4 linked regions of the Drosophila melanogaster genome follow. The protein of the gene in region 4 interacts with the protein of the main gene of each other region in a pairwise test. Each region holds a gene or a part of one and is shown on either strand. Other genes may lie near its edges.

Region 1 (3,983 bases), on a different chromosome or scaffold from region 4:
TCATTCGGAGGCGGAGTCCATTAACTTTGCGCTCAACGATGCCGCCGCCCAGGCCATCAATGCCTGGGTGAATGCCAAGACTCAGGGCAAGATTACGGAGCTGGTCAGCGCGGACTCGTTCTCGGACAACACCAGGCTGGTCCTGCTCAATGCCCTCCACTTCAAGGGCAGCTGGGCGCACAAGTTCAGCGAGGAGCGCACCGAGGAGGATATCTTCTGGGTGGGCGAGGAGGAGCAGGTTAAAATCAACTACATGAACCAGAAGGCCAAGTTCAACTATGGCTTCTTCGAAGATCTGGGCTGCACTGCCCTGGAGATGCCCTACCAGGACTCTGACCTCTCCATGTTCGTGCTGCTGCCGCAGGAGCGGACAGGTATTTACGCCCTAGCCGAGAAGCTCAAGACTGTGAACCTGGTGGATTTGGCCGACAAGTTGACCGTGGAAGAGGTCCATGTCAAGTTCCCCAAGTTTAAGGTGGACTACTCCCTGGAATTGGCCGAGAAACTGAAGCAGGTACATATTATTTTTTTTTTTTGGGGGTGGGGGGGGTTGATTGTTCCACCCAATTTATGCCACAATTAAGCTCCATTTGGGGTCAGCTTTTGTTTTTATATAACACAGTTCCTTGACCTCCATTTGATGTTGCGTGCTTAAGGTGAAGTTTGGAGTTATTAATAGCAGTAGCTCAATAAATTTCTCCATAAAATCCAGAATTCAATTTTATGGACACGTTGCAGTGCTGCAAACCGCCCACAAAAATATTTATTGCCCACTTATCTCTAAAATTCCGTCTATTGATGTACATATGTATTATTTTTAGTAGCTTATCGACGGTAGGGTAGAAATGTCTTAGATAACCAAAATGAGCTGTTGTGGTATTGCGGTGGCAGCTAGTGGCTCGAACTCAAGATCATGTATCAGCCGCACGATCCTAAAAAAAAATGATGGAATTTTAGCTGCAGTCGGATGTGACACACCTTTCCAAGCACCTCACATATCTAATCGTTCATAAATCCTCAATCGGATATGACCTCATTAGTTATTTACTTGGCACTTATGTATTTACCTTTTCACTTTCAGCTGGGCATCACGAAAATGTTTACGGACCAAGCTGAGTTTAGCAATCTGCTGGAATCCCCCGAGGGCGTCTTTGTGTCCAAGGTGCTGCACAAGGCCACCATCGAGGTGAATGAGGAGGGCACGGAGGCGGCGGCTGCCACCGGCATGATCATGATGACCCGCATGATGACCTTCCCGCTGCAGTTCCAGGCGGACCGGCCCTTCCTCTACGTCATCTGGAATAAGAAGAACATCCTCTTCGCTGGCGCCTTCGTTAAGGCTGCCTAAAAGCCCATTTCTCACTTCTTTCGTATTGTTTGTATTGTTGTTGGAAAAGTATTTTTAAATAAATAAGCGCTCCATGATTAAATTACCCGTGTTTATCGTATTGCCAATTGGAAATTCTTGGCAGATGTAAACAAATTTGAACTAAACACCTGTTTCAATAGAAAAATATGAGAACGTTGTTTGAGGATCAACATTTCGGTTATTTAAATATATGTTTTCATGATATTTGAAGTGCGCGCCACTCATTCAGCCTTGCCACCAAGTTCGTGGTCTGTTATCGATTCGATATCGAAAAGAAGTCGCGAAATGGCCTAAAACTGGCCGAACCGCAAGACCAGCCGAATTGAGTCTGCGCAGAGCGCGTAAAACCAAAACGAAGAGAACGCAGGAGAGTCGAACGGTAAATCGGTCGCAGCAACATAAACTTTTAGAATCGCCAGCGAGAGCCGTCTTAAAAGTGCGAATACAAACAGAAGGAAAAGCGGCCGCCTATGGCAACCTGACTAGCAAAACATTCGAAAGCAATTGGCCAAAGTTAGGACGAAATGAGCCGAAAGAACGGAAACCAGGACACCTTTCCCAAGACGGAGAAGATGCAGCGCTACTACGCGGAGCGCGAGACCACAGGACCCGAGTTCGGTGAGTTTTCCTCGGTTCGCAATCGGTACACAATGGATTCAGAAATGGAATCTGAGTAACCGGGGCTCGCAGAATCAACCCCCAAAGCCAAAGGATGTGTCTTCTGCGCTTAGGGGTTGCTGTTTCTGCGGCGAAGAAACGTAGAAACGGAATTAGAAAACCGAAACAGATTTTAACGATTTTTCCCACAAATCCTTGCTCCCAGACGATCGCCTGATAAAGCTTGTGCGCGCCAATCCGGCCATCTATGATGTCAGCCATCCGCACTATCGCCGTAATCCGGTGCGGGTGGACATATGGGATCGCATTGCCAACGAACTGGGCGCCTCCTGTGAGTATATTGCATTTTATCCACTGCGTAGATTCTGTCGATAAAACCACCCCATTTTTTCTACGCCCACTTCACAGCCCGATTTCTGCAAACCAAATGGAAGAACATACGATACAACTATCTGCAGGAGGTCAAGGCGATTGAGACGGGCCAGGCGAATCCGAACGTACGCAAGCGGCGCTTCACTGAGGATCTATCCTTTCTGCAGAACACGGCCCAAACCTACAATGTGAAGAAATCCCAGAGCTACGTGGCCCAACAGAATGGAATGGGAAGTGACAACGACAGCAATAGCTTTTTGTATCCCGATCCGGAGCACCTAAAGATCGACGCCTCCGAGGGCTACGACATCATCGAGCTGGACAACAGCGACGATGGCTCAAATAGCGACGACAACGAGATTGTGCCCGAGTTGCAGCTGGTCATGGGAGAGTCCAAGCAGCAATTATCCCTGCCGACGACACTGAACGGCACCAGCAGCAGCAATCACAGCCACGAACATGACCAAGCCAGCTCGCCGGCCTCCTCGCCCCTGCTAACGCCGATGGTTGTAATGGGCAATGGCTATGGCCAGGAGGTGCATCTAGAACAGCAGCAGACACAGGAGCAAAAGCCGTTCAAGAATAGCTCGCTGTCCAACGGAGAAGTGACCATTGAGCCCATTTACAAGCCTGCGGCTATCAGACGCGCATTACCCAGCGATTTTCTGACCAATCCCTTCAAGCGCAAGGCAACCCAAGCGCCGCTTCAGACCCAAGTGACGTCGTCCTTCAACGATCCCATCGAGCTCTACTGCCTATCGCTGGTGGACACACTGCGCAGCATGCGGAGATCGGAACGGGAGCGGGTCAAGTTCGAGTTCGCCAACATTCTGAAGGACGCCAAGTACAAGGACGAAAGCTAAGGCGTCATAGTCATCATTCTATACGTACAATTCTCGATTAGTATCCTTAGTGGTAGACAACGCACTCGAACACTTCCCACACTCCCCCTTCATTTATGTATTTACATACTTGCAAACAACTTGTAACTCTACGTTTCGAGTCCTAGGCTAAGGTTCTAGGTTAATTTGAGGCGATATGTGTCCATAGTCCATATCTCTTTAGTTGTATCAACATTGAGTCGAATAAAATTATGCACAAAACAAGGTTAGCAGCAAACGAAGTTTCATTGTTCCAAAGAAAAAGTACACATTTGATTTCATTTGCAGCTCAACGCGACATTAAACAATTTATTTTGAAATAATGATAAGAGTAGTGTGTAAAATGTATAAACTGAAGCGTGCGATCTTAAATCGTATACGATGCGATCAGCTTTCACTGTACTCTCGATCGGTTAGTGCAAACTAAAAATCTTCTACCTGCTGAGCTGGGGCCCGCAAAATCCCGCGATACAAAATAAATCTAAATCTTTACTGATTCTTCGAGTCTTTCTACAACAAGAACTGGTTAGTCTATATATCATATATATAGTGCATAAGGCATATACAGATCATTCATATGATTATAGTGGTTATTAATGTGATTATCGTATGAATCAACTAAATGGTTAGACAGAGTAGGTGATGAAAATTAACGTGTCAAGATTTGCATTTAACACTAAAAACGATTTGTTCGCCAATTTAACGGCTGAGCTGCTGCTACTTAATATAAGTTACAACTCGTG
Region 2 (4,978 bases), on a different chromosome or scaffold from region 4:
GACCAGTGGCGACGCGGCGGTTGCCAGTGATGGTGACCATGCTCGTGATCATGCTCCCAATCCCAGTCCCAGTGGATGGGCATGACTGCGCCACCGGTTCCCGATGCACGGACTCCGGTTCGTTGGACACACGGAGCAAGCGTGTTGATTTTTGGCTTATGTGGCCAAAAAAACCGTTGCCCTCCGCCCGGTTCGACTCTTACAAGCTAACTGAGTGGATGAGGTTATGGTAATCGCTGGAACTTGGAGCTGCACAACTGTACCTGGCACCAAAGCCACTCTAACTGAGCATATTTCTGTTCCACCTTCAATGGCGTTTTTAAGTACAGTGACTCTTCAGTAGGTGCGACTCCAATTCGATGCAGGAAAGGATCATTTAGAAACATGCACGTAAACCAAAAGATATTCTTTTAATTAAGTTGGCTACAGGTAAATGGCTTTTTACTAAGTGATAACTCTCAATCAGTTACATATATCAGGATTTTACTGTATCGCGTTCCTTCAGTGGGACACGCGTTCCCGGGAAAGTGGGTCTCAGCCTTGTCCGACAACTCGAACTGTTTGATCAATACCCGTCCCACCAGCAGTCCAATCAGCCGCGGAGCTTCGTCCTTTTATTGCACAAGCGGCGCCAAGGAGCCGGAATCGGAAGACGGGACAAGGAGAGCACAGTGCACACAGCGCGAGTTGAGCCAGTTATGAGATAATGCCAAAAATTTTGAATCAAACCGAGTGCTGGAGGAATGGCGAATGGTGTCACTAATTGTACCATTGTCACCCCGCCACGGGAAGAGCAAAGCAAATCCGAGCAACTGAACTCGGCAGACGAGTATGGCAGACGCATTGTGGCAAATGAAACTAATGAAAATCGTGACCCCACAGCAACATTGGATACTTATGCACTAAGAGAAACTGCATGGATATCTATGAAAATCGAAAGCTACTCCATGAAGAGTGGCAAAAGTCCTTGTTAAAATTGTATACTTATTTTAAAATTTGAAATACACTTTTTTTAGTGCGTTTTTTTTTTCAGTGTGACTGCAGTGCTATCCAAACAGCTGTTAACAGGGTGCTATCTTTTACGGAAAATATGGCAAAAGTAAGCAACCAAATTTTCTGATTGGCTGTAGATAATGAAAGCTGCGTCGGATTAAATTTCCCGCCAAATCCTTAAGGCTCGTGGGACCAAATTACAACCACTTCCTCTCGATTTGCACCCTGTATTCGATAGCTGTATTCCATTGTCCTTAGACGACGACGACGACATCGTCGTTGCGTTGTCAAGACAGTTGTTGCCTCTTTGTTGCTGCCATTTTTGTACCACTGCTGCCCCGGGTTGAGCCAATTTGTAAAATATATACGATATATATTTTACTTATGTCTGGTGCTGCTGGGGTCAGGCAATTTGGCTGCTCGCGCTGCATGGCTGCTGAAATTGAATTTTTGCTTTGGCTTTTAAGCAAGTTTGACAAATTTTCAGAGCACGGCCAAAAGTGACTGCAACAGTTTCGTTAGCTTCCAAGCCAAAAGTCGATGTTTTCTTGGCCAAGGGAAAAGCAGAAAAGTCAAAAGGGGATGGGGGCCAAGGGGTAGATGGGTTTGAAATTGCATTGACAGGCAGTCAAGCCCTTCCACTTCATGGCGCTGGGACAAATATAGATTACGCAAGTGCTTAGGGTTAAGCTAATATTAGCAGGAATCTAAATTCCTTCCTCAAAAGGTCAATTGGTTTGCTGGCTACAAATTGTGCACCGCTTTTACATAACACATCGATGCCAAAGACGTCAGAGAAACGTACAGAGCTTAGTTTTTAGCAAGCTCCTGTTGATCGAATTAGCTGGAATTTGTTAGGCAAATAAAATGTGGGAAAAATGGATCTTTGTTGGCTGCTTTTCAGTCTTGAACTCAGTTCAATTCAGACTTTAAAGGTGTTCGCAAGCTTTAAGTAAGCAAAAAGTGGTGTAGTTTGCACAATAAAAGGACCTCGATTATTTCAAGCGATTAAGGATATTTTTGAAAAGTAAAATCCAACAATTAAGACAATCGAAGTTGGCTTAATGAGAAGTATTTGCTTAGCCGCTGCTTCAATAATTGTATTACTACTGTTGTGGCACTTAATCAGCCCAACGGCCTTGTAGTCCTGCAAATCCTCGCCCCAGATTGCAAAGGACACAGGATTAGGGGCGCAATTAATGACCGTGGCCATTGATTATTTTACACACATGTGTGTGTGTGTGTGTGTACCTACCGCCTTCAAATGGCAATTGGAACGCCAAGGCATGTTAATCAAAGCCACCCCTGTTTTGGGAGTTTGGGGCCAGTTAGCCATGGTTGCGGGCCTCTTGGCAACCAGCTTTGGATGCCTTAGTGCCGTGATTGGAAAATAATTGCATTCATTAAGTGGGTTATTGCCTACGACGCTTGCGATAAACATCTGCTAACTGGGTCACAATTTCGGCGACTGGCAATCCAATAGATTAACGGCCGAACGCCTCAGTTTGCGGGCTTAAAGGTATCTGTATCTGAACATAAGGTTCGTTACACTTGGCCACAACGGATTGGTTGATAGTGTTCCGAAAGCTCGAAACTTCATATTCTTAAAATGTAGTTAATGTTACTAGATATGTATACTTATATTTATTGTCCTTTATCTAAGTCTAAACACAATTACTTTATACGTGCCTTAAGCAAACTGTCTAAATGTGCCAATTGGTTGCCAATAGCCATCGGTGGTAACTAATCAGTAGATGGCCAGTATTGGCCATATTTCGATAATAAATAGCATTTGCCCAAGTGAACATCTCCCTGCGGTGAAATCAAGCATTAAAAATTCACTTACTTCCGGTTATTTTAGTACGCAAAAGTAAAGTCATCGGACGGATTTAATGTGTAGTCGTTTGTATAATGCAAAGTTGGTAAATGTCCAAATGAATGACTTCACTCACTTCACTTTAGTTAAAATATTTACTAATACTTGCCTACCCTCCATTTGCGGGGATTTTGGGTGGAGTAAAACACATGTTTGCGGCTTTGTACGGCAGTCATTTTTTACACATCAATGCGTCCGAGTGGGCCACGCAAACTGGGCGAAACTGAAACTGATGGAAGGTCTGCCAGCCACGTGGAGGTCCTGCAGCAAACAAGGATACCATGTACATGTGGGGGATCCGTACAAATATGCATAAAAGTAATCATAAGTCCGGATCCCCACCACCACCACCACCACCACCTCCTCCTCCATCACCATCATCATCATCGGATGGGGCTAGCTGGCGGAATGGCCATGGAAGGGTCCGAATTGTTCTATGTAGCAGTTGGCATTTGGAAAACGCATAGTTGGCTTCACTAGATAACAAAAACTGAACTCCGAGAATAGATTTGGTTATCGATTTGCGGGAATGGGGGCCATACATTTATTTATTTGAAAGGTAATATTCGGATGAACAATCCTTTATTCGAATACCGCATAAAAATAGAACACATCGTTATCAATTTGATGGCCATCTGCCGATTGAATAACAAGTAATACAAACTATATTTGGTTAAATTGTTGCAAAGATAAAAACAACAATTTACCATATAATAGTTATATTCCTAAAGAGTTCGATCCATTTCGAATGTTTTCCTAACCAAACAGCTTATACGCGCATTTTCTTGAAATTTTAGATATTTTTAGATTTCAAGAGAATGGAAATTTAAATTTCTGGTCAGATAAAAACAACTTTTGGCAACGTTTCGTGACATGTAGTTTCCAAAAACGCGTTGTCCCAGAATGGCGAAAGCCAGCCTGCCAAGGCTTAAAATTTTGTTAATGAATTGCGAATTCTATCGGCATCTGCACCGCCCTGCGCACCGCGTACTCATTTAACCAATCCTTTCCAAGGACCTCCGTTTCGCTCGTTTGCCATTCACGCAACACATTTAAAGTTTGAGCTTTGTGGTGGTGCTTTCGGCTGCAAGGCGAATTGTCAAGGCAACATGACGGGCGGAAAGTGGGTGGTGTTGCTCCTGGTAGGGCTAAGCTGCTCATAACCCCTGCCAAGTCGCCCAAGTAACAGCCCCTCGTTAGTTACGGCCATATGCTTTTTATGTAATACACCCACACTACCCGCCAGCCAAGTGGATCCGAAAGTGGATCTGAATTGCGGGGTTGTGGAGCCTGTAGTCGGAAGTCTGAGGCATTCCGGAATGGAATGGGCATGCCATTCGTATATGTTGGCCAACACATGTGTTCCGGCTGGCCCACTCTGTAGGATTTATGATCAATCATTCGGTTAGGCTTACTGCGGTTAGGTTTCGGTCTGGTCCAGAACTCAGTATCCCAGCCAGCCTCCAGTTCCCAGCTAGCAACTTACCAACTTGTACCCCGTCCTTCGTCCATGGCCACTGACAAATCTTTATCTTTGCCCTGACTTATTTATCCTTTTTGGCCATTTCATTTTTATTCCGCCTGGCGTTTTTATGTCATGTTTATTGATGTGTAAAAGTCATAAAGTCAAATTGAACACTTGTGACGAGAGTCATCCCTCGCGATTTCCACCCGTCTTCACCCGTTTCTGACTTTCCGAGTGTGACATTGATTTTTGCCATATTCTTTCGATTCTATACTATTTTATTAAAACTCCAGACTCCGTTTCACAGTTTTCTAGGCACTACTCCATTCTCATTCCATATTCCATTACGCGGGCAGCAAGTTTATGGCATTTCGAGCTGGTTGTGGAAGATAAGCAGCTGCGACATGTATATATATAGTTCACTCACCTCGTCGATTTGCTGGCATTAACCACAGCGCCATCCTTGAACCACTGGAACTGCATCCGGGATGAGCCTTGGGCCGTGCAGGATATGATGAACTCGCTGGCCTCGCGGACTCCTGATTGCGGCTGATTGACGGTCAGCTCCTGCGAAAGGGGAGACAATGTCACACTAATTAGACACAGGATGGCTGTGGTTCGGTTTTCGGTTCGAGGTTTTGAGC
Region 3 (5,715 bases), on a different chromosome or scaffold from region 4:
ACCTAGCGAGAAAAATCAATAAAAAACGCAAGGTAGACACGCCACCGAGCAGACTCAAAAAGAACTGAACAAAATATATGTCCTCACAAAGGCCCTTTGGCACGTTCATGTCAGCGGGTTAACAATGGATGACACCGAAGAGTAGTCCATGGAGGAGGAGGTGGATGTGGAGGCGGAGCAGCCAGTTAAGAGCTTTCGGCCAGGTGAGAGAAGTGCTCATCTCTGGCTGGGATACCTTTTTCCAGCTTTCCACTTCTATGGAGCTCTAAACTATATGTAACTATAGTCTCGAGATATTTTATTCTATTAATATTCTTTCTCTAAGATAAATATCAGTTTTTATTTCTCATATATGTAATAATAAATATATTTATAATAAATAATAAATAATAATAATAAATATATTTATTATTAAGGTATACAACCCTTAAATTAAAATTTAATTTAGATGGGATTTCATAAAATAGATTTATAGAAAATGAAAAGAATATTATAAAATAGATATTAAAAGAAAAACGTTGTCTTTTTAGGAACTATGAATCTTATATCTTTTTAATTTAATAATTTTAAAATTGGTAGAGCACTTCTGAAATTAGGTTATCACTTTTAAGTACTATTATTCTAATATCTTTTAAATACAATTAAATATTTTTATTCGTTAACACAAACCCCATAACCCCCCAATGTCCTTAGAGAAGCTGAGATATTTTTGCCCAGGAACAGGGCAGCACATCCCCAAGCAGACCCAACCATCACCGCGATCACTCGAATGCCATCCTAATGCGCCCATTTTAGGGCTTTAACCTAATAATGACGTTCGACTTAGTTTGCGTGACTTATTTTATTAATAAAACGAGCAAATTTGTCTTGCTTTTTGGTCGCATCGTCGTCATATGCTTTTTCTCTCTCGGCGATGTCTCGTTATTGTCCTTCCTTCCTGCTCTGTTTGTGGAGACCCCCCCCCCCCATATTTCCCTCTCTCTGAAGGAATTAAGGACTTTCCGCTGTGAGGAAAGACTGATTCTCAAAGCAACAGGACGAAACAGGACGAGTATAGTTGCGAAAGCAACCCCTCGGCGAGCTCTTCGCCGATTGGTGGCTTGCTGGAAAGGAGGCACGCCCCCTTTTTCGATGGTGTCACTTGGTTGGGTGCGGAGGGGGCCGGGTGTCCTTGGTGGGTGGTGTACGGCTATGTGGGGCTCTGATTCAATTAACCGCGCGGGGAAAAAATATCTGAATGCAAAGCAGGCGAATGCTTGGCCCCAACCCAGCGGGTACAGTTGCGCTGGCTCCACCTAGCAATTATCCTGTCACAGCAGCAGAATCGATTGTTTAATTCAATTATAATAATTGTGGCATTTAATGCACGCACATCATCAGCCAGACAGCCAACAATGGCGGCCGTGACACGTTAATTATGACAAGTGGGTGCCAAATGGGCGGCTGGGGACGTGGCAGGATGTGCCTGCCTCGCAAAATGGCGGCAGAGCAAGGACGCATAGTTGTGCAACTTATTTGCGGCTAACGGGGGTCAATTAAACTAAGGTTTTTCCGCACTAATCGCATGTCCAGTGGATGCCAGCAGAGAGATGGGTGCTCAAAATCCTGCCAGAGCAGGACAACCCTATGCGCATGCAAATCGAGGGGTGTGTTCATGTGCCCGCTTACGGGGATTCCCCGAATATTGCCGCTCTAAGCGGGCACCGCAAAGCGGGCCAACTGCAGCCGGATTGAGGAGGGGGTGGCACTGCCTGCGCTCGCATTTTTTCCCCCCCTTCGATTTTCCCCTTTTCGCAGGATGCAGGACCATATCGCCGGCTCGCTCGCACATGTCTGCTGGCAGCTCGTTTAGAGCAATTTGCTGGTTGATGTGCGGTGATTGCCGCAAACTCAACGCGACCGTCAACGAGCAAACAACATAAGCGCGCGCGCGGTCCAAGGACACGTATATATCCCGGCTGGCTGGCACATCTCCTGGCTCCGGTCTCCATCACTGCTCCTCGTGCTCCTCCTGCTCGGCCATCCTCCAGCGCAATGGCAATGCTTAATGAGGCCAGCTTGAGTCCTGCGGACGCACATGCTCATGCCAACGCCACCACGCCCACGCACAGCAAGGCGGCGGCGATGGCCAGTGCCACCACAATGCTGACCACAAAAACGCCGTTTTCCATCGAGCACATATTGTTTCAAAACTTAAATAGTGCCAGCAATAACAATAATAGTAGTGATACCAACGGCATCGCCGCAAACACCAACAACTACGCGCCAAAGAGCAGCAGAAACGCGGTGAAAAGTGCCAGAAGCGCATTTGCCCACGACAATAATCCGCACAAACATCCGTCGCAACATTCGCATCCGCCGCAGTCACATCCGCCGGCGTCCGCATCCGCATCCGCGACGGCTACTGCCCGCAGCAACCAGGCTGCGTCGGGTTACGCTGGCGAGGATTACGGCAAGTCCATGCACAGCACTCCACGGTTGGTTTCCGAATTCCAAGGCCTAATACTACTGCAGTGAAATTTTAGTTTAAAAAACTTTAATTTTAAGCCAATATAATTGCATAGAAAAGTGAAAAAAAGTAATTAAAATAAAAAAAAAATAAATAAAAAATAAGATAATATTAACAAAGTGAATTTATAAAAGAATAAGAAGTAAACATGAAACATCAAATACGATAGATAGTCACACCTTCTTGAAGACAAATATTTTGGAATAGCATACACCTTTAAAATCTTACTTTGGATTATGTTCTTTTAAATTATAGAATATTTTTTGTAAGAAAAATGATATTTTGGAAACATAGAAATCAGGCTTACCATAAAGCTTAATGTATCTGGGAATATATATTTGTATTTAAGCATATTAGCATAAAAATCACTATTGGACATAAAGAGAATAGTTTAACATCGAAATACCAATAGACCCCTAATTGAACCACTTGCTTCGTAGGTCCAACCACCACTCGCGACACGGAACTTCCCACTACAACGGAGATCAGATTTCGCAGCAGTTGGGATCTGGAGCAGCACAACATCCGCCGGTGCCCACGACTCAACCTCAACCTCCGCCTCCGCCGCCCCTGAATGGAGGTAGTGGTGCATCCAATGGAGTACTCTATCCGAATGCACCCTACACCGATCACGGATTTCTTCAAATGACCCTCGGATATCTCTCGCCGTCGTCGGGCACCTACAAGTCCGTGGATCCCTATTTTCTATCACAAGGTGAGTTAATGCTCGATATTACAGAGATATCCTCCTAGATGATTCTGATTTGTACTGGTACATACAAACATGTTGGTAATAAGTTAAAGTCGAACTCATAGAAATTAAAAGTCAATTCTAGCTAGAGTTTAGCTAATCGAAAATGAAGTTGGACATATTCTCATTAAAAAGCCAGCACAACATTTAATTTCACATTTAGAACTTTTTCAAAATGAAACCCAAATTAGTAGGACAACTGATGTTGAAGTGCAGTTTTTTGTTGCCACATAGCTTCATTTAGGGGCACTAAAACTCGAAATATTCGGTGTAAATGGCCATCAACACCGAAAGTTTTCATTTGTTCCAACTATAACGAAGTTAACCAAATTTTGCATCCTTTGCCCTTTCAGCCAGCCTGTTCGGGGGAGCGCCCTTCTTCGGAGCGCCTGGCTGTGTGCCGGAACTGGCCCTCGGACTGGGAATGGGCGTGAATGCCCTGCGCCACTGCCGCCGGAGGAAGGCTCGCACGGTGTTCAGTGATCCGCAGCTGTCCGGTCTGGAAAAGCGGTTCGAGGGACAGCGATACCTGTCCACGCCGGAGCGTGTGGAGCTGGCCACCGCCTTGGGACTCAGCGAGACGCAGGTGAAGACCTGGTTCCAGAACCGCCGCATGAAGCACAAAAAGCAGCTGCGCCGGCGCGACAATGCCAATGGTGAGTATATTGATTTCATAATCACAAATTTATTATGAGCAAATTAAATATTACGAAATTTATAATACTCAAATCAAGTTATTTAATATTCAAACCTTTTCTGGGCTGTTAAGAACAACTAGAGCGAAAAAGAGTTGCTCAAGTTTTCCAGCTTTTAGACAATGCAATATTTGAGTTAGCAATTAAATTGTCAAAAGGCATTTCGAGCAGGAGTGGTCAGCGGTTTTCAAATTGGTCACAAAGCACCAAAAACTAGACCACTGGAGTGAGTAGTTTCTTTGAGGAACTTTTGGACTATCAATTAGACCTTTTGGCTTTTAGCCGGCTCCTTGTGATGCAAAAAGTTTTGCTCAAGTTTCAACGCAAATCAAATTAGTTCTAAATTTTGTGGAAATTTCTTTGACTCTTCCATGCCGCAGAGCCCGTCGACTTCTCACGCAGCGAACCGGGCAAGCAGCCGGGCGAGGCCACCTCCTCATCCGGGGACTCCAAGCACGGCAAACTGAATCCCGGATCTGTCGGCGGCACACCCACTCAGCCGACGAGCGAGCAGCAGCTGCAGATGTGCCTGATGCAGCAGGGTTACTCCACGGATGACTACTCCGATCTGGAGGCGGACAGTGGCGACGAGGACAACTCCAGCGACGTGGACATCGTCGGCGATGCGAAACTCTACCAGTTAACATAGACAGTTCGATCGGGATGTGGACCTGGATCCTAAAGTAGTAAAGTTTTCGGTGTTTCAGTTGGGGGAAATACAACTAAAAGAGATTTTCAAATCAAAAAATATCAGTTTCTTTTACTAAATGACTTTTCTATTAGACAAGCACAGAAGTTACAAAACAACACATATATTATCAGCGCGAGCATGGTTATACCATTTTGAAAATATCTATTATTACGATTTAGTACGAACTATAGTTCCTTATAATTGTGGAAACTTACCCATCAGTTTCACCATTGAATTAATTGATTGATTATAACAGATACCATCCAGCTACTCTAGCTGTTTTGATCTTGTCCAAAAGAAACATATTTATTTTGCTATAATTATAGTTGTATTTCCCCCCAGATACATATTTGAATTGAATCGAAAAGCCGTGTAAATACCAACGAGTTCTTGAACGAGTTTTCTAGTCATGTATTAAGTCTAATAACTAATCAAATTTAGTGATTGTATTCGAGAACTTCCATTTTAAGATACATTAGTTCCCTGCGACTTCTTATCCAGAACATAGTGCTTACAATAAACGGAACGGAGCGAATTACGCGAATGCTGGAGAAGTGTTACTGGGTGGGTGGGTGGTGTAGCTTGATGCCCGCCCCCTCGCCGGGCAATCAAATCCAATTGACAACACAAAGTAGCAACTAATATGGTTAAGCAGCGGGAATACTGATGTATGGGGTTGGCGACTGCCACGCCCTGCGCATGTCCTGCCGCCCAAGTGGGCGGGCGGAAGCGGGTGGGATTGGATTGAATCGGGGTGGATGGAAATGCACTTAACAATGGCAAAATAATTGCGGGTTTTCAGACAGCCATTTTAGTGAGACACCCATTGTCAAGTGCGGAATAGAGTGAGGAGGTAAAAGTTAAATGTTTCAAATTGATTGGTAATTACGGGTTAGCAGGAATGCTCTCGAAAAAATATTAATAGTTTACCCGATTAAGAATGAGTCTTGGAGGGAATGGAGTTCCATATGCTTATATACATGTAGATACCTTTGCAGTCATCAAAACTCATGGATCTATTTGTTGAGAGAAGTTATCATTTTTAGTTTCATACTTTGGACTGTTAAGA
Region 4 (7,619 bases):
TTACTGTAAGGTAAAGGGCTTGCTGAAAAGCACAAAGGAGAAGGCTATAGTCACAGCCTTGCGGGCGGTGGTCACTGTGGCAGCTATGGGGGCACCACTACTCCTCACCAGAGCCAGCACAAACTGAATGCCCAGATAGCCGGACAAACTAAAGAGGAAGCCATAGCCGAAGGTCTCAACGGGATGCTAAATGGATAATACACTTTAGATCTCTTACATCATAAACCTCAAATGTTACCCACCTCCAAACAGAATGCAAAGCCGCTGAAGAAGTTGCCGGTAACCAGCATAATCACAAATAGGTACACAAAACCCAAGCCGTATGAGTAGAACACCACCTCACTGCTGGGCGCCTTGAATTCCCGCATCGCCTTCTCCTGGACATTGCCAATGGCTGCGTCGCAGAGCAGCGCTCCCGAAATCATGGCCACACCAAGCAGATTGAAATTGGGCGTCATCTGGGAGTCGGCCAGCGTGAACCAGGCCAATCCGATGCACATGCAGGTGGCTGCCGCAAAGTCCAGCAGTCCGTAGCGTTTGCCCTGTATGAGGATGCTGCCCACCAGCACGGGAATGAGCTTGCAGCACTTGAAAATCACCTGGGTGGGATAGTTCAGGTAGCCGAGACTTGAGTTGGACAGACCCATGGTACCCAGCGTGAGAGCAGCCAGAATTAGGTATGTTCTCATGGGAATGCAACGTGGCTCCGGCTCAATGTTCCAAAAGGAACCGCCGCTTATCCGATAGCCCTCCAGCCGCCGCTCCACCAAACCGAAGCCGATGTAGTAGCCAAACTGGACGAGCGTGAGGAACCATCCGTAGGGTTTGAATCCTTCGACGGTGAAGATCAGCTCCTGCAGATAGCCGTACAGGATGTACAGGAAGAAGACGCCGGCGCAGCTGAGCAGGAACTGAGTTGTGCGATTGTAGTAGGTGAGGTCAAAGCAAAGGATACGGAGTTCCGGCGGAGATTCCGACGTCGAGGACTTCCGCTGCGAGGGCGGCGAGTTTCCCGCCGATTCGCCGCCATTAATGGTGATAACGCTCCCCTTATTATCGGTCATTCTGCTGCTAGCGGATGTGTCTATATACATATACACACTATATAGTGGCTATTTCAAGATTATATTTCCAGGGAGCCCGTGTAATTCAATGCCACGCTGTCCGCGGAGTTGTCGGTTTAAAGTGCGGATTTGTCATGCCTCCTCGGATGCTGCATTAATCACGGGCCGGCGTGGAGATTTCTGTTGGGTGCAAATTGCCCTGGCTAAATGTTTGTTTACCACAAATAAACTATTTTTGTCAGCTTAGAACTGAGATAGACGCGCGGCGTTGCCACGTTGTGGTAATAATAGAAGAGAGACCGGTATAACGTGGAACAAGTTGGCAGCTCTGCTACCACCGTCATTCTAATTGGAACTTCTGCTACTGGCAATAAATACATTTAACAAATGAGCAGCGATAAAGGTTTAAGCCGCTTTTTTGCTCAAAAAAGCGTATGATAAGCGCTAAAAACTACTTAAAAAGTAGTGCCGAGAGTAACTCCTAGTATTTGACTACATGTCGTTCTAAGAATACAAAGATATGGGCACACTGTCGGAAAAAACAAGAAGAAGCAGTGAAAAGTGCCGCTGAAAAAGTGCAAAAAGTTATGAATTTAGTATTTTACATAGGATAATAGTGCTAATAACAGTCGCAAAATGGACGTGCAACCGCCACGCGGTAAGTGCAGCAATTAAAAAGTGCTGAATATAACTTAAAATCAAGCTAATTTTGTGCCCAAGTCGATTGGCATGCACATGTGTACACATACAAACAAACAAGCGCACGCACAACCTTTGATATGCTCACATTTTTTGCAAAAACCATTTGCTTTCTATTTGCAGATGCCAGTTTACGAAATATTATCGACAAACTGGCGGAGTTTGTGGCCAGAAATGGGCCGGAATTCGAGGCGATAACCAAGCAGAAGCAGCAGAACAATCCAAAGTTCGAGTTCCTCTACGGCGGGGAGTTCGCCAACTATTATCAATTCAGGGTGGCAGCGGAACAAGCTCGTGAGTGCGTTCTAAATTGGTGGAAAATAACCCCTATAATCTCCTTTTAACACCCAATACAGTGCTAAAGCAACAGGCCATTAACCAACAACTGCCACCAGGTGCTCCATCCGGCCACTACATGCAACATCCGCCGCCAATGCAGCAATCCCAACCACCGGGCCTCTATCCGCCACCCAATCAGCAGCCACCGCACCCGCCCGAAACCGCACAAGACAATATGCAACAGCAAACACAGCACTCCTGGCCGCCGAACTCCGGCAACGGTGGGCCGCCAAACAATCAGCAGGCCAATGGCAATCCCATGGCCATGAATCTAACGTCACAACTGGAAGCCATCAAGATGCAGCAGAAGTCGCTGCGGGAACAGATCCAGCAATCCGAAGCGAATCTCTCCGCACAGCACACGGTAATTTGAAGTTGGAAATAACTGGGATACCTCTATATGCCCACCTTTGCAAGCCTTTTTCCGAAAGATTAGAGCAGCTCGAGTGTATAAAGAAAAGATTTCAATATGATTTCATGTTGAATGTTGGCCTCCTCTGGCAAAAATTTAAAGAAGCAAATTGGTTTCCTTTTTAAACTAAATACCCACCTAAAAGTTGCTTTTATAGTCTGAATATAAGAACGTGTTTGCTTCTTCGAATTTTTGACCTCCCTTTTAAACGACCCAATCGAATGTGAATATACCTCGATTTTAAGCCAGAATGCTTTTAATTATTTTCTTAAGAGAGAAGATAACTTGTATAACCCTTATATACTTTCGGACTTAAATGATTTCCAAAGATATTGTCATAGACTCATAGATGGCAGTTTTGTATTCCCTAGTTTTTGTAATAACAACTCTGGAACAAGAGTTCATCAAATGGTGTTTAATATTAATAATTATGAACTGCTTTTGTGGACTTTTCACTCTATAAGTACTGTGAACTAAATTCTTTCTAATAAGAAGGACATTTCTTATTGCTTGTCGCTATTGAATTTCCCTGTAATGGAAGTGACTTCCCTCTTGAAATTGTTTCTTATGAAACTAATCCACGAATTCCTCAGAATAATCAATCCTGCTCTCGACCCTTTTCCAAATGTTTTTTCAATCGATCTACTCAGTTCTTGTTCTCCAAGTGCGGATAAGATAAAGTTAAAGTGTACTTTCAGCAATATCAAACTACAATCTATATTTGTCATTATTTTTACTATTTAATTAACAATTTACAATGCTACATTAAATTTTTGCTTTATTGTATTTTTTGAAACATAAACCAAAAAAAAAAAAACCAAATCAAACCACTCTTCATACCAACTGACAAAACTGTATAAAAACAAAAAAAAAACAAATCCTAAAATCAAATTTGTTTTGAAACGCTTGTCAAATGAATCCCAAAATGCGAATATGCATGCGAACAAACCTTTGTGTGCCTAATGACCAAACCGAACCGATCCGAACCACACCAACGCTTGCGATCCTAATCGCACCAATCAACCAAACGAAACCAACCTGTAGGCCCTGATGAATCAGAAGACCAAGCAGATCGAGGATGCAATTGCGGCGGCGCAGACGGCGCAGCAGGAACAGATGGCTGGCGAACAGGGCATTGTGCTGAGGGACTTCGATGGCGTTCTGCAGCCGATCATCGAGTCCTGCACGAAGGACAGCATCTCTGCAGGTAAATACGAGTTCAGCGGACAGGCTGGATTACATTATTGCTTGTTTGTAGTCTCGTAATCAGTCATAAGTTAGCTAATGGAGCTGAATTTTTGATGCTCCGCAGCTTTGCTGCACACAAAGCGCACACTAAATGAATCCATACTACTTTTTGATTAATCCTAAACCTAATTTATAATCGCCATGGACAATGACAATATGAGTAACCCGTTTGATATTGCAATTTTAGGCAAGAACTGGATTTTACAGCATTCAACCGACAGCGCAAAAATCAATGTCGTTTTACAATATCTTTTAAAGAAGTATGCCTCAGTTTTATACCTAATGACCTGCAATATGTATTAATTAAATTGTGTTTCTTTCTTTCAACGAGTGAAATACTAACCAAACATAGAAAAACGAAATACGAAATATCGAACAAACAAGTGAGAGATGATCGATTGAGCGATTGTGCGATTGAGACTTCCACAGAGAGGCTCGAGATTGATTCGTTGATTCGTTTTCGAGAGATGTTATGATCATATATGAGTAGTCCCCAGATCCGGAAGTCTTTTAGCTAGGGCCACACACCCAAACAAATCATTTTACTTAATAAGCTTAACCATAAACACGCACAACAACACACCAACACTTAACAGTGATAATCATCGGACAAAAAAAAAAAACCAAAAAAAAAAACACAAATACCAAAAAGAAAGAAGATTTACTAACAAAAATCATTATACTTGCACAACAAGTACTTTTGGCAATGTTGTTGTGCATACAGAGAACTAGAAAAATATGTTTTTCGTTTGTTAATTTATTTTTAGGGCTTTGGTCAATGGTTCAACGTTTCAGCAAAAATTGCATCTTATATATTTAGTTAATGATATACTCCATCACTGGTAAGTTCGCCCAGTCAATTATTAGTATAGTATAGTATTTAAGGGCCATAGACCTCAATAACTAACCCACTGAGCAGTAAGACTACTTTGTGGGTTAGTTTCTGCGGACGACTACGCTGACAGAATTGGACTGAACCTGACCGACCACCGGACTTCGGACATCATACCTTGACATTTAGAGTAGCTAGGAGATGAGACCTAAGTCCAACGATATATTTACAGCATGCGCAAGAACATCAATGACTTGAAGAACAGCCTCGAGAACGTCGTCATTCCGATGTTCTGCAGCGCCGACTTGAGTATGTATTTCCACTTCGATCCATTCCTTTACGGATTTCTAATAGTGTTATCCTCGCCCACAGTTGGCAACCCCGACCAGCGCCAGAAGCTAGCCAAGCTGCTGTCTCTGTGGGAGTCCAAGGCGAAGTTCTTCGATGCCTGCGTCATCTCGAAGCTTCAGTCACCGGACTCGTCAATGCAGGAGTACAAAACCAATCTGCAGAACACACATCATGATATAACTGCTAAATTCACGCAGAATACCAAGGCGACTTTGGATAAGTAAGTATAAAAGTCCAAGAACATAATAGAGCACATAATAAACCATAACTCTTATGCTTCAGCTATCAGAAACAGCATCATGTATTTATCCAACATGCTAGCCAGCAAATTGTGCAGCTGGAGAAACAGGCGCAGCACCTGGAGCAGCAGATTGTGGCCCAGAAGTCCCAGCAGCAACACATGCTTCAGCATCAGCAGAAGAACATACCATCGCTGATGTCCCACCGAATAGCAATGCCGGGTGACCATGAGCACATGAATAGCCAGGGGCCGCATGATCAGCAGCATCCGCAGGCGGGAAATAATATGTATCCAGGTGGTAACTTCCAACAGCAGCAGCCACCACCGGGGAATCACTTTGCGGATCCACGCGGACCGAACTTCTTCATTCCGGACATGTCCAAACCACCACCAGGCTTCCCCGGACCCATGCATCATAATCAGGGCCCAGCAATGGGCCAGCAGCAGCCACAACCGGGACAGTTTCCGCCCATGCAGGCGCCGGGTTCTGGCAATGAACCACCTGTTGATCTTGGCGTTCTCAGTGCAGCGATTCAGGCGTGCTTACAGATGCAGCAGCAACACCATCCTGACGACCCTCAGCAACAAGGACAGCACCAACTGCAGCAGCAGCAGCAGCAACAACCGCAGCAGCAAAAGCAGCCGCCGCCAATGGCTGCCTATCCCCAGAATATTGTTAGACCTGGCCAGCAAAATGCTGATAGCAGCGAAGTGGATCTGGATGTGCTCAATGCAGCCATTCGCGCGGTTATAACCAACAAACCCGAAGACGGAACATTGGAAGATGGCCAGCAACCACAGAAATTGGTCGACGGAGAATCTGGAGAACCTGTTGTGATCGGAGAGCCACAAATACCCACAGCGCCTTACTACGACCTGCCAGCGGGCCTCATGGTGCCGCTCATTCGTCTGGAGGATTACAACTACAAAGCCCTCGATCCGGCGGACATTCGACTGCCAGCTCCAGCGCCACAAAGCGAGCGATTAACAAATGCATTGAACGCCTTCTATTCCGCACCCTCACACGATCGTCCAAGGGATAAGTAAGTATTTCAATTTGATGTTATTGAGCGTTCCTTATAAATGGGCTTATCTTGCAGTGAGGGTTGGGAGAAGCTTGGTCTCTATGAGTACTATAAGGTGAAGAATGCGGCGCGAAAGCAAAAAGAAGAGGAAATCAAGGACGGCATTCGAGAAAAGTCGCGGTCGCCAAGTCCGATTGTGCTCGAGAAACCCCTACCCAAAAAGAGCAACAAGCGAGTTTATCGGTGAGTGTTGGTTTTCCATCAAAAATTTTCACACAAAAACTAGAAATATTTGCACTTATTTTCTTGCGCAGATCCAAGAGTCGCAGTCGCTCCCGCTCAAAAACGCCGCCCCATCGAGATAGATCGTTGTCTCGCTCCCGATCCCGCTCGCGATCCATGGAGCGCTCTTTAACGCCGCCACCGATGAATCGGAGCAGGTTGGGCGGTGGTAACAACCGCAAGGGTCGCAATCGATCTCCTCGCCACGAACGGGACAACAACAGCGGCAGCACAAATACCAGAGAGGGCCGTGGTGATCGTGGCAATTCCAATAGCCGAGACAATGGCAACAGCACCAACCTAAGACGAGTGGACCGCGACAGATCTCTAACACCTCCGAGCTTTCTGTAAATCATGGCTATAGTACAATTTCATGACAGTCGGACCAATGAGCTATCTTTGTTTTTCCAGGGGAAGCACATTTGCCAAGCCAGCGGATTTCATCGAGGAATCGAACAAGGGCCACCAAATGCTCATGAAAATGGGTTGGGCGGGCACGGGAACTGGACTGGGCTCAAAGAATCAAGGCATCGACACGCCCATTTCGGGAGGCGAGGTGCGCGATCGTCGAGAGATGTACAAGGTGAAGTGGCAAGAGTGCGCAAGAAAGGACAACTTATAATTTTCTATCCACAGGGAGTGGGCGCTAATATGCACGATCCCTTCGAGAGCTTTCGGAAGAACAAAGGAGCTGCCTTCGCGCACCGGATGCGATCGCGAGACGACAAGAGTTAGGATCTGCCAACGGTCATAACTTCCCAGTTTTTTGTTTCCTTTAGCCCAGAAAATATACATTTTTATAAAAGCGAACTGAATTTTTATACAAGATTAGGCTATAACATTAAAGCTGGATTGAGCGGCCTTGGCATTTACTTTTTCCAGGACCTGGACCAGGCCCTTGCCAGGACCGCATTCGAAGGTGCGTGGAAAGTCGACGCCCTGCTTGCGCTCGTACATCTCGTGGAGAGTCTGCTCCCACTTGACGGGCCTCACGATTTGCTTGGGCAGCTGCGTTAGGATGTGCTTGGCATGGCGATAGGGTTTGCCATCCACATTGGAGTACACTCTAATGACGGGGTCCTGAAGTCGCACCGTTTTCAGGGCTTTGGTAAATGGCTCCACGGCG

What was found.
Region 1: the proteins of scaf6 (region 4) and Dlip3 interact in a two-hybrid assay, tested with the Drosophila melanogaster proteins (one large-scale study listed by BioGRID).
Region 2: the proteins of scaf6 (region 4) and CG34109 interact in a two-hybrid assay, tested with the Drosophila melanogaster proteins (one large-scale study listed by BioGRID).
Region 3: the proteins of scaf6 (region 4) and bsh interact in a two-hybrid assay, tested with the Drosophila melanogaster proteins (one large-scale study listed by BioGRID).

Annotation. Positions count from the first base shown.
Region 1 is NT_033778.4:18,126,784-18,130,766, forward strand, and holds Dlip3 (dorsal interacting protein 3), read left to right. Parts: upstream 1-1,710; 5' UTR 1,711-1,893; coding exon 1,894-1,987; intron 1,988-2,192; coding exon 2,193-2,318; intron 2,319-2,395; coding exon 2,396-3,222; 3' UTR 3,223-3,463; downstream 3,464-3,983. Other genes in the region: Spn55B (serpin 55B), read left to right, coding at 1-514, 1,082-1,348; Hsf (heat shock factor), read right to left, coding at 3,972-3,983.
Region 2 is NT_033779.5:10,092,153-10,097,130, forward strand, and holds the start of CG34109 (uncharacterized protein), read left to right. Parts: upstream 1-1,935; 5' UTR 1,936-1,945; intron 1,946-4,761; coding exon of another isoform or gene 4,762-4,901; intron 4,902-4,978. Other genes in the region: CG44153 (uncharacterized protein), read right to left, coding at 4,762-4,901; CG13133 (uncharacterized protein), read right to left, coding at 1-83.
Region 3 is NT_033779.5:19,765,249-19,770,963, reverse strand, and holds bsh (brain-specific homeobox), read left to right. Parts: upstream 1-1,896; 5' UTR 1,897-2,034; coding exon 2,035-2,477; intron 2,478-2,949; coding exon 2,950-3,224; intron 3,225-3,613; coding exon 3,614-3,916; intron 3,917-4,335; coding exon 4,336-4,604; 3' UTR 4,605-5,188; downstream 5,189-5,715. UniProt on the Drosophila melanogaster protein: DNA binding protein that function as transcriptional activator. May play a role in the determination and function of cell types in the brain.
Region 4 is NT_037436.4:17,036,541-17,044,159, reverse strand, and holds scaf6 (SR-related CTD associated factor 6), read left to right. Parts: upstream 1-1,585; 5' UTR 1,586-1,700; coding exon 1,701-1,722; intron 1,723-1,886; coding exon 1,887-2,057; intron 2,058-2,119; coding exon 2,120-2,466; coding exon of another isoform or gene 2,467-2,475; exon of another isoform or gene 2,476-3,226; intron 3,227-3,558; coding exon 3,559-3,721; intron 3,722-3,949; coding exon 3,950-4,022; intron 4,023-4,529; coding exon 4,530-4,604; intron 4,605-4,826; coding exon 4,827-4,903; intron 4,904-4,966; coding exon 4,967-5,165; intron 5,166-5,227; coding exon 5,228-6,229; intron 6,230-6,286; coding exon 6,287-6,454; intron 6,455-6,525; coding exon 6,526-6,840; intron 6,841-6,904; coding exon 6,905-7,076; intron 7,077-7,129; coding exon 7,130-7,228; 3' UTR 7,229-7,301; downstream 7,302-7,619. Other genes in the region: Papst2 (PAPS transporter 2), read right to left, coding at 5-186, 243-1,094; beg (bad egg), read right to left, coding at 7,322-7,619.